Linked DNA regions of Callithrix jacchus. The protein of the gene in region 2 interacts with the protein of the main gene of each other region in a pairwise test. Links are inferred from orthologs where the notes say so. Each region holds a gene or a part of one and is shown on either strand. Other genes may lie near its edges.

Region 1 (6,025 bases), about 98 Mb from region 2:
ACATCAGAATCTTCCAAAACTTAAATATGCACGTTACTCTTCAAAAAGGAAATAAAATGGGAAGTGTTCTCATTCATTAAACCATGAAACCTTCTGTTTTAAAGAAAACATAATAATTTCCCATGGGATGTTTGTGTTCAACTAAAGCAGTTTGGAAAATGATCAGATAATTCAATCTTCTCATTCCATGGCTTGAAAAAATGAGGTGCAGGGAGGTGAAGTGACAGCAACATACTAACAGGACCAGGGCTGGCACCAAGGAGACCTGATGATTCCCACCAGGATGCTCTTTCCCCTAATCATCCTGTCTCACTGTTTCTACAAAGTTTAATATCATTTTTTTTAAGTATTACCTCAATCATTTATTCTGATTTTCCTGAATGACAGTAAAGAGAAACCATTTACAGACATGAAGCTCGAAAATGCTCTGCCTCCCAATGCACTAGTAGTATTTCAGAAACTTGGAATATATTTGGAAATGTGGAAAATGATTCCATTTTAGTAACACGAATAACAATTTTAGGCCAAGTGGTACTACGCTCTTATTTTTCTTTGAAGTGAGACATTAGTCCACCCTAATACTGCATACAGACACACTGAGTAAAGAATATCCAATCTGTGACCATCTTTATAAATTAGGACAATTTGTCCATTGCTTTCCCCTTACCTCATTCGCCCGAGGGTGGCTTCCTTTCACTTTGTCCTACCCCTTCTAGCAAATAGTAAACAGTCCTGGCCAGTGATGCCATCTGGCGGTTAGTTCAGAAATTGTTTAACCAACACACCTTCCAATCAGGATCTTACCATCTGGACCCTCCAAAACCACACTCCCCTTTCTTCCAATTTTTGCCCATTTATCTTAGTAAAACCGGTTTTCTTCTTTTCTGCTCATTTTATCCAACTGAATGCAAAAAGTATTTTATATGCGGCATTCTAGTTACAGAAAAAAATCATGAGTCCTAAGTACATTTGCAGCTAAAGAAACAAACCAACAATGAGAGGCCAAAATAATCCCCAAAATGCCCCCATTAGAGATCCTGTCCTATTAGAGATTACTGGAATCTCCATTATTCATCCAATGCCTTCAAGGAATACCAGTGCTGAGAAGGACCTTGAGGATCATCACTTCAAGGTCAAATGCTTCATTTTATAGCTGAAGAAACTGGCTCCAGGAGAAAGAAATAAAGTAATCACCCACCCAACAGGACACAGCAAGTTAATAATCCTCAAAATGCCCCATTAGAGATCCTGTCCTTATAGAGATTATTCGAATCTCTGTTATTCATCCACTGCCTTCAGGGAATACCAGTGCTGAGAAGGACCTTGAGGATCAACGTTCAAAGTCAAATGCTTCATTTTACAGCTGAATAAACTGGCTCCAGCAGAAAGAACTGAAGTAATCACCCACCTAACAGCACACAGCAAGTTAATGGCAGAGCCATGATTATGACTTGGACTCCCCATTCCAAATCCAGTGCTGGGTAAAGTACTCGGTGTGCTCCAGGCTTCTGAAGCCTGTTTTTCCTCAACCAGTGTGTTAATTAATAGTAATATTGTGAATCTCCTGAGGGCAGTTCCCAAAACTAAATCTCCTCTATACAGTCTCTAGAACATTTCATAAATATTTATTGATTATTTGGGTATCTATCATTAATTGCTGTACTTCTTGCAAATCTAGAATACTTGCAGTAGACACGCTTTTTAAAATCTACTTAAAAAGCACTTTGGGAGGCCGAAGCAGGCGGATCACTTGAGGTCAGGAGTTCAAGCCTAGCCTGACCAATATGATGAAACCTCGTCTCTACTAAAAATATAAAAATTAGCTAGGTGTGGTGGCATGTGCTTGTAATCCCAGCTACTCGAAAGGCTGAGACCGGCAAATTGCGTGAACGCCGGAGGTGGGGGTTGCAGTAAGCCGAAATCACGCCACTGCACTCCAGCCTGGGCAACAAGTGCGACTCTGTCTCAACAACAACAACAACAACAAAAGGGAACTGCCATTTTGTAACACTGTTTCTATGACTATTCCCATTAATCATCACATGGTAACCTTTTGGAACACAATCCACTGAGAAATTTGATACTTCCTGTTCACCTGATTAATCTTAACCAAATGAAGATAGAAGAAAATATGTGGCATAGGGTGAAAACTGAAACCAATTTTAAAAAAGATAAAAATTCTAGTACTAGTTGCATTATAATCAGAAGACTTTAGGCAAGGTCGTCTTCGCTCCCAGAAAATAATCCTCGACCCTAGCCTCTTGTAGGATAACTGCAAATCTTTCTTACAGTACAAATGTCTATAATGCGTAGAGGTATCACTAATAGTGATTTCTATTTTAGGCCCTGTGACTAATTACTTTATATATACAACGTCATGTAATTCTTGCATCCCTATTTTACAGATGAGAAAAAACAAGGCTTAGAAACTTAAAGTCGTTCGGGGTCAGATGAAGAACTCGAGGGCCAGCTTAGAAGTGAAAGCCTCCAGAGCCAGTGCTCCCAACAGGGGAGCGATAATGCAAGGCCCACTTAGATACTACCACTCCATGGCTCTGCAGTCAGTGGGGCGTGAAGGCAAGCGACCAAGATCGCTATTTCCAGGTACAGTTAACGTACATAGTGAAACACTGGAGTACACCGAACAATGAGTCACGAAGACCTGGGTCTTTTCCCTGAACTGGGCAGCTCAGGGACCCGGCAAGTCGCTTAGCACTCTAGGCTTGCCCAACTTGTGGAGAAGAAGGGGCTGCCCTGGAGCCAGCAAGGCTTTTGATCGTGATCACACTCAGGGTGTAAACCTGTGCGTATCAAGTCATGCTTCTGGGAAATAACCTTTATCAGATCTTTCCAAAACGCTGGATTAGACACTGCAAAGTTCCGCTTGCTTCTCCGACAGCAGGAAGCTCCCGGAAGGAGGAGCTTTCTCACGGCTTTATTACGCCACCAGAAAGGCCAGCCGGTGGGCGGACTCTGCCCTCCTTTCCTCACTAAGTTGTGGGAACTGAGAACCGCCGCCGGGCCCTGCTAACCGTTGCTGGCCGCCGCGGGGTGAACGCTCGCACTCTGCCCACCTCTCTGGGTGGGCGGCTAGCAGGGTGCAGGGTGCTGTCTCCCTCCCCCGGCCGCCGGCCGCCGGCTGCCCTGCGCCCCGGCGTTCCGCTTTGGCGTCTGGATCCGCCGCCTACTCTCTGGCCGTTCTCCTGACTCGGCGCATGATCTCGCGGGGCTGGAGCGCGGGGTGACCGCCGAGGACCCCAAAGAGAGAGAGGGGAAACCGCGCAGGGCGCTGCAAGTGTCCCCCACTCCATCCCCCACCCAGGTTTCTCCGGCGCGCGGCGCGGCGAAGCTGCGCGAACTACTTACTGAAGAAGAGGCGGTAATTATGCGAGCAGGGCTCTCCGCGCTCCTCGGTGTGGTACTGGGCCATAGCACGGCGCGGCTGGGTCCCGGCGCTAGTCGCCAACTGCAGGCAGGCCGCGGCGGGGACACCCGCGCGCCAACCGCGGCCCGCGCGCAGCACCAGCAGCAGCAGCGCGCTCATGGCGTAGATGGCGGTCCGGCTCTGCGCGCGGAGGTTCTTGAGGGCCCTGCCCGTCCGCGCCGGCGCCCCCTACCGCTTGGAGTCGTCCCTCCTACCCCGGAGCTTGGGCTGCAATCCCGGTCCTTAGTGGAATCTGGGCCACCAGCCAGTTGTGCGCACTGTACCTTCAGCGAGGCTGCGGCTCAAAGAAGGGCCCACCACTCCTGAGACGCTCACTGCCACTCGTTAATTCATACATTTATTCATGACTTCATTTATCCCTTCAAGATTTACTATCATGATTTATTAGAGTAATGTAATACTGAGTGATTACTCTGTACCGGGAACTGCTCTAGACCCTGTCCAACATCGGAGATGAGCGCATACGCACACAGACATCACTATAAGACAAAATGATCAGGCCACCACGTGAAAACGTGACCTTGACACCGACTTATACAGCAAAAAACCCTAAGTAGCGTATTCAAATGCCATCTTCTTCATGAGGCCGTTTTCTAACCCAGTAGAGGTGATTTATCCTTTCTCTTACATTTTCATTTCTCCAGTGGTATTTGATACCATACCTGTATAACTGTGAACTTATGTTCCCTATTTCACCTTGACCTGCCAGCTAGATGGTAGTTGACCATGCACTGAAGACTTGAAACGTAGTATCCCCGCAGGATGTTGCACCATGCTTGGCATATAATTACGGTTTCTTTATGGCTTCTGAAATTCCCTCTCTGCTAAGTCTTTCTCATCACCTTAGAAATTTCTGGTTATGGAGCCTTCCAGAAAAAATTGTTAAAAGAATTGTCCACAGTCACTGTCTCCATTTCTTCATATTCTTCCCTCATGTCAATCCAGAAGGTTTCCTCCACCTTCCCAAGGTCATCAGATGACCTCCTTGTTGTCAAATAAAATTGATAAAAGTCAATTATCACAGTAAATAGGAGTGAAAGAATCCAGAAGATAGAAGTAAATAAGATTTTATAAATTACAAACTAAAACTTTTTAAAAATTAAATGTATCAGTTACTCAATACATAAAAGTGAGAGCTAGAAGAGTAGCAATTTTATAGAAAGAGGCAAAGAAATGTGTGCTTATGGATTTGAAAAAACAAAGTGAAATTATTTTAATTAAAAGAAGGCATTAAAAAATTATCTCCTGATTTGAAATACTACAGTAAAAATTAGATTATGAGATTTTAATAAGCACAATACATAAATTTATAAAAATATAATTCTAACTTAAAATCCAGGCCCTTTAAGGGAAGACTTACATCCTTTACATAGATTATGTTAACTAATTAAGTAATTAAGTTAGAATTGCAAATTTGATACTACACTAGTTAACTTCTCTGTTCTATGGCTACAAACAACACAATATGGTTAACAAGAAATTAGACAAGATATTTAAAACCAGCATTTACTTGCAAAGATCTGAAAGCTGATACCAAGATGGCTCTGTAGTGGAGAAATCTTGTAGGAGGGAATCAAGTGAATCTGTCTTATTGCTCTTATGTGCTTGACCTCTATTGCTAAGGTCACCTTCGTAATTTAAGATAGCTACCATAGCTCCAACATTACATCCTCATTCCACCTGCCAGACAGACCGAAGAGAAGAAGGTTGTACCCCTTCCCTTGAGAACATTGCTCACAAATCACTTGTATCACTTCTACTTGCATCCCATTGGACAGCACTTAGTCTAACGGCTACCACAAACTATAAACTAGCAAACCTTATTCTGAGTAGTGATAGCCCTATATAACAATTGGGAGCCATACTACTGAGGAAGAAGGAGAGAATGGATATTGTAGGACAACCAGTAGTCTGCCACAAATGTCATTTTTTTTCTTTCTAGTCTGTCTTCTTTGAGACTGTCATCAACTAGACCACTTTCCTACTGGACACCCAGGTTCTTTCAGCATTGTGATCATTAAAATTGGGAGACTAGTCTACCCAGGTTCCAGAAAGGATCTCTAGGAGATGTTGTGACTGGCTACTTAGAGGCTTTCTATTTAGATTATAGATCCTAAAATGTTTTCTCAACAGTGGTAGCTTTGAAATGTGTCAACTTGAATAGGCATAACTATAAGGCAAAAGCTCCATAAAAAGGGAGAGAAAATCTCTTTTGTGCATATGTCACAGAGTTGTGTAATTTTATTGTTTATATTGGAAAATAAGCTTAATTTTTCTATTAACTTTTGCAGATCAGATATTTAAATAAGTCTAATTCCTATGGAGGCAAGGTTGTGGGCTAATTTCTAATGATCTTTGGGTCTTAAAATGAGTTATCTAGGCTGAGCATGGTGGCTCATGCCTGTAATCCCAACACTTGGGAGACCAAGGTGGGAGAATGGCTTGAGCACAGGAGTTCGAGACCAGCAGCCTGGGCAACCTGACAAAATCCCATCTCTACAAAAAATACAAAGTCAGCTGAGTGGGGCGGCACATGCCTGTAGTTCCAGCTACTTGCGAGGCTAAGATGAGAGGATGGTT
Region 2 (5,305 bases):
TAAGCCGAGATTGTGCCGCTGCACTCCAGCCTGGGAAACAGAGCAAGACTCTATGTCTCAAAAATAAAAATAAATCAAAAATGAAGTGCACTGGCATAGTCTTGGCTCACTGCAACCTTCGCCTCCCAGGCTCAAGCGATTCTCCTGCCTCAGTCTTCTGAGTGGCTAGGATTACACGTGTGCACCATCACACCTAGCTAATTTTTGTATTTTTAATAGAGGTGGGGTTTCACCATGTTGGCCAGGCTGTTCTCGAGCTCCTGGCCTCAAGTGATCCACCCACCTTGGCCTCACAAAGTGCCGGGATTACAGTTGTGAGCCACCATGCCTGGCCCTGCCATCTGCCGTCTTTTGAGATCTTCCCTGGAGACCCAGACCTGAACCCTCCTACTTGTTCTCTTCTTGTCTAATACCCCTAATGACAGTGCAGCTTAGACCATTAATGGAGAGCTTGACCTCATCTGGTACCTTCACTGAAGGAAACAGCTTAGTGTCTTTTGTGTTGAACACTGAGGTAAAAAATTGGATTAGTTGATTATATGAACTCTGCTAAAATTGAGTGCATTTTACATTCTTTAAGGCCTTATTGGGCCCTGGTTAAATAATTTTTTTTAAAAATCCTTTAGGAGCCTATTATGAACAGATCTATGGTCTTAATGAAATGTGATTAATAGTGTGCATTATTTTAAGCACTTTTGACTTCTCAGAAAACTTTTGCAACATGTCCCATTTTATAGTAGCATAGGTTTAAGTACCTCTGGTCTCTGAGTTAGTGGACAAGAAACCCTTATGGATAGTCTAGTGAAGTTTGGTACAAGTCTATATTGAGTTTCATACTTCATTTTTTTTCCAGTTTTAAAAATTGTGGTTAAATAGGAATAACATAAAATTTATTTTCTTAACCATTCTTTACGTTGGTATTCGATCCGTTTAAATAATGTCCTGGAATCATCACTACCATCCGTCTCTGTAACCTTTTCATCATGTAACGCTGAAACTCTGTTCCCGTTGAACTCTGTATCTTCTGTCCCTGCCACATCCCTGGCAACCATTCTTTCTGTCTTCCGAATTTGACTCCTTTAGGTTCTCGTATACTTTAGGAGTCACACAGTTTTTGTGCTTTTGTTACTGACTTGTTTCACTTAGCATACATAGTGTCCCAAAGCTCATCCATGTTGTAGCCTGTGTCAGAACTTCCTGATGTTTCAGGCCAAATACTATTCTGTTCTATGGATAGACCACATCCTGCTTTTCCATTCCTCTGTCCGTGGATACTTGTATTGCTTTCACGTTTTAGCTATTGTGACTCATGCTGTTACGAATGTGGGTATACAGATATCTGTTGGAGACTCTGCTTTCCATTTTTGTGGCTAAATACCCAGAAATGGAGTTGCTATTACATCCCAATTTTAATTCAAAAATTCGCATCAAGTGTTTTATCTAATAGTATAGTAGTTAACAAGCTAATAAAACAATATTTTGGTAATTTGCTGGTAGTTTTAGAAGTCCATCGCTCAGTTTTTTAAGGTCAATTACACAGGACATTTCAAGTGGATGTGAAACATCCTGTGATGTAGACTCATGTCCCAAACTGATGGCTATACATACGAAATACCATGCCCGAAATTTAGTAGATGTAGTCTCTGCAATTTAGGAGATAACCTGTTACATCGTTAGGTTTTTGTCTAAAAGCTTTGTCCTCATATTTCCAGCTTGCTGTAAAATTTGTTTGTGAAGACAAATGTTTTTGTATGGGCTTTTTCTTTATTATATTAAAAAGAAATTTCCACATTGGAATTTCTCGAGCTATCAAAGCTTTTCATAATGTTGTGGTAAGGAGTGATCATAAACAGTTTCCACACTTGCATTTCTGTCCATTTGAATAGATGACAGATGAGCGCCCTTGTGTTCTATGTGTAAAACGTGCTCTTTCATCTTGCCTTTCCATGTTGGAGGGCTTGTCCCTTGGCGATCACACTTCAGAATTCTCACAGCCCCCCTTGAACTGTTTAGGTGTTAGACGGTGCTGACAACCAGTATTTGGGCCCGCAGATTGGACAGCCCCAGGATGAAGATGAGGAAGCCACAAGTGTCCTTCCTGATGAAGCCTCGGAAGCCTTCAGGAACTCTTCCATGGGTATGTGGACTCCAGGTGATGTGCTACAACGTGGTCTCGTATTCAGCCCTGGACATCTTAATTGCATCTTTGCTTCCAAGAAGAAATCCGTTGATATCGTTTTCCGAGTTCTGAATAGCTGATGAAAATGACCAATTTAGGAATAATCATACTTTTTCTTGATCTAAATCCTATACTTTCGAGTTATCTTAGCATAAATGTATAATTGCATTGTATGTGGAAATTTGCCACTTAATCTTGATTTCTCTGTTTTTAAAGCCCTTCAACAAGCACATTTATTGAAAAACATGAGTCACAGCAGGCAGCCTTCTGACAGCAGTGTTGATAAATTTGTGTCGAGAGATGAAGCTACTGAATCGGGTGATCAAGAAAGCAAGGTGAGGGACGTAGGCTTGAGACACTTTGGTGTTTCTGAGCTTGCGTGAGGATTTGAAGTCGCCCTGGCTACCGTCTACTTTATTGCTTTCCCATCCCTGGGATTTAAAATTTCCCCTTTAAATACCAGCTCTTCCCAGGCCTGTTATTTTCACCTCTCCAGGTACTACCCACAGCCTGAAGAGTTGCCTGAGTTCTGCCTCCTTTGAGAGTGTACCCCAGAGAAATCGGTTCTGTACTGAACGTTTCCTTGTCTGATTTCTTGGACCATTCATTTGATCGTTGTGTGTGGCCTTGCAATGGTTCTTGTTTTGGTTCTATTGAATTGTTTTAAAAGTCTCTCTTTATATTATCTTTTTACATGTGAATGTAATGGTCTTCACTTTGAATTCCTCAAGGGCAAGAACTAGGGTTTCACAGTCAGTCCCATCTACCAGGCCACTTCATCTTATCTTCCGGCTTCCCCAGGCTGTGTCCTTTCCCCAAGTAGTTTCTGCTTGTCCAGTAGAAGACCACTCACTCATGCTTTGCTTTCAGAGCAGGCTTTCCTGAATGCCTGGTCTTGGCTGCCTTCTTACCATGCCCACCCTCCCTGCATGCTGTGTTCATCCCCTGCCACAGCCCTGTGACCCAGTGTCCTGCTGCCTCTGGCTTGTCTGTTTCTGCTTGGCCATGGTCTCTGTGAGGTCAGGTGTGCATATGGGCACAGACCAGGACATTTCTTTATCCCCAGCACCCAGCGTAAGTGCTGCTCAAGAACTATTTGTTGAATGGACTAATGCATGAATGTATTGGTTGAGTATGAGACAAACAAGTGTCACTGTCTCCTTTCTAGCCTTGCCGCATCAAAGGTGACATCGGTCAGTCCACCGATGATGATTCCGCACCTCTTGTCCATTGTGTCCGCCTTTTATCTGCTTCGTTTTTGCTAACAGGGGGAAAAAATGGTGAGTAAAATAGGGCAAGTACGGAGTTGGAGGAAATAACCAGGTTTCAGAGGTCAACCTCATGGCCTGCTTTTGCCTTGTGTGCCCCAGAGGCAGTGGAAACTGGGGGTGAGTTTTGTTTTCACTAACTGAGGGGAAAGGAAGAAATGATGGGAGCAGGTGGGTTATTGGGTCTAGCTTTGCTCATTTGAAAACTGTCTGTTGTTTGAGCCTGAGAGTGGCTTGGGTGATTTCTTGGCAGTGCTGGTTCCGGACAGGGATGTGAGGGTCAGCGTGAAGGCCCTGGCCCTCAGCTGTGTGGGAGCGGCTGTGGCCCTCCACCCGGAGTCTTTCTTCAGCAAACTCTATAAAGTTCCTCTTGACACCGCGGACTACCCGGGTATGTTAAAATTTGCATCTTTTTCTCAGATTTAATCATCATTGTAACAACTATTGCAGTATTGACTATTTGAGTTTTAGAGCAGTAAATGTTTTGAGTTTATTTGGGGTATTTGACCTGCATTGTAGCTCTTCCAAAAACTTATGAATAGTAAGTTCTTAGTTGCATTGGTTCCCTTTAGATGAAACCCATAGAGACAAAAATAGAAACCTGGGCATGTAAGAGCCAATTTATATACACATCGGGTTTAAACCTAAAACACAAATTGTGCATGGTCACAGTTGAGCTGGGTCGTACTGAGCCAGGCCAAGCATTCACACTTGGGGGACTGGCAACCAAGATGGGCTGAGGTAGCAATGGACCCGTGTCTCTACCGCACGTGTGCTCGTTATGGAGCAGACATCATCCTCCAGCCTTATCTTTCTCTCTTTTTCTTTGGATGAGAGGGTACACTTGTACTTTTGAATTTATATTAGGTAAGTGTGTAATAGTTAAGGTTTTTACTAATCTTTTTAAAGTGAAATCTGGAATTTTGATTATTGTCTGACAACCTAGAATTATAATCCAGAGAGTCTGTTGTATTGAGGATATATTGGCAATATGATGACTCTGTAATTTTTAAATCCTGAAACGTTTTTTCTATCACTTATGGTTATTATAGTGAAGTCATTTCTGAATTTGGGTCTTCTCTTCACACCTCTTTTTCTCTTTCCTGAGAATCAAGCTTTTGTTTTGAGTTAGAAAGTTGATGGTGGGGAACTGTTCCATGGGGGGGCACTCTGTTTCCACAGAGATCAAGCTTTTGTTTTGAGTTAGAAAGTTGATGGTGGGGAATTGTTCCCTGGGGGGGGCAATCTGTCTCCACAGAGGAACAGTATGTCTCAGACATCTTGAACTACATCGATCACGGAGACCCACAGGTTCGAGGAGCCACTGCCATTCTCTGTGGGACCCTCGTCTGCTCCATCCTCAGCAGATCCCGCTTCCACGTGGGAGAGTGGATGGGCACCATTAGAACCCTGACAGGTAATGGCCGGTTTTTCAGCTGTGTTTTTTCTAAATCTCATGACCAAGTATTAAGTTTCCATGATGACGTTGCTCCTTGTTGTTCTGCTTAGGAAATACATTTTCTTTGGCGGATTGCGTTCCTTTGCTGCGGAAAACATTGAAGGATGAGTCTTCTGTTACTTGCAAGTTGGCCTGTACAGCTGTGAGGGTGAGCATAATCTTCTCTGGAAACCATTTCTTCAATTAGTGGACACTTTATCATCACTAAAATTAAAATTGGAGCCTAATAGGAAATATTTCCATATACTCTGAAGCTGCACACAGTAATACCCACCATGTATCCATCTCTCAGCTTTAGAAGGAAAACATTGCCGATCAAGTTAATGCTCAGTAAACTTGTTTAAGTTTTAATTCTCAGAATATTTGTTTGAAATAGACCTTTTCCTAAAGGATATATTT

Evidence for each region. The genes of interacting proteins can lie anywhere in the genome.
Region 1: the proteins of HTT (region 2) and PPA2 interact in binary tests that used the Homo sapiens proteins (3 or more experiments, as listed by UniProt). The link is inferred for Callithrix jacchus from reciprocal best matches to the Homo sapiens genes HTT and PPA2.

What each region holds. Positions count from the first base shown.
Region 1 is NC_133504.1:91,980,365-91,986,389, reverse strand, and holds the start of PPA2 (inorganic pyrophosphatase 2, mitochondrial), read right to left. Parts: upstream 3,557-6,025; 5' UTR 3,545-3,556; coding exon 3,367-3,544; intron 1-3,366.
Region 2 is NC_133504.1:190,018,373-190,023,677, reverse strand, and holds part of HTT (huntingtin), read left to right. Parts: intron 1-2,013; coding exon of another isoform or gene 2,014-2,052; coding exon 2,053-2,137; intron 2,138-2,395; coding exon 2,396-2,514; intron 2,515-3,347; coding exon 3,348-3,459; intron 3,460-3,700; coding exon 3,701-3,838; intron 3,839-4,705; coding exon 4,706-4,864; intron 4,865-4,956; coding exon 4,957-5,054; intron 5,055-5,305.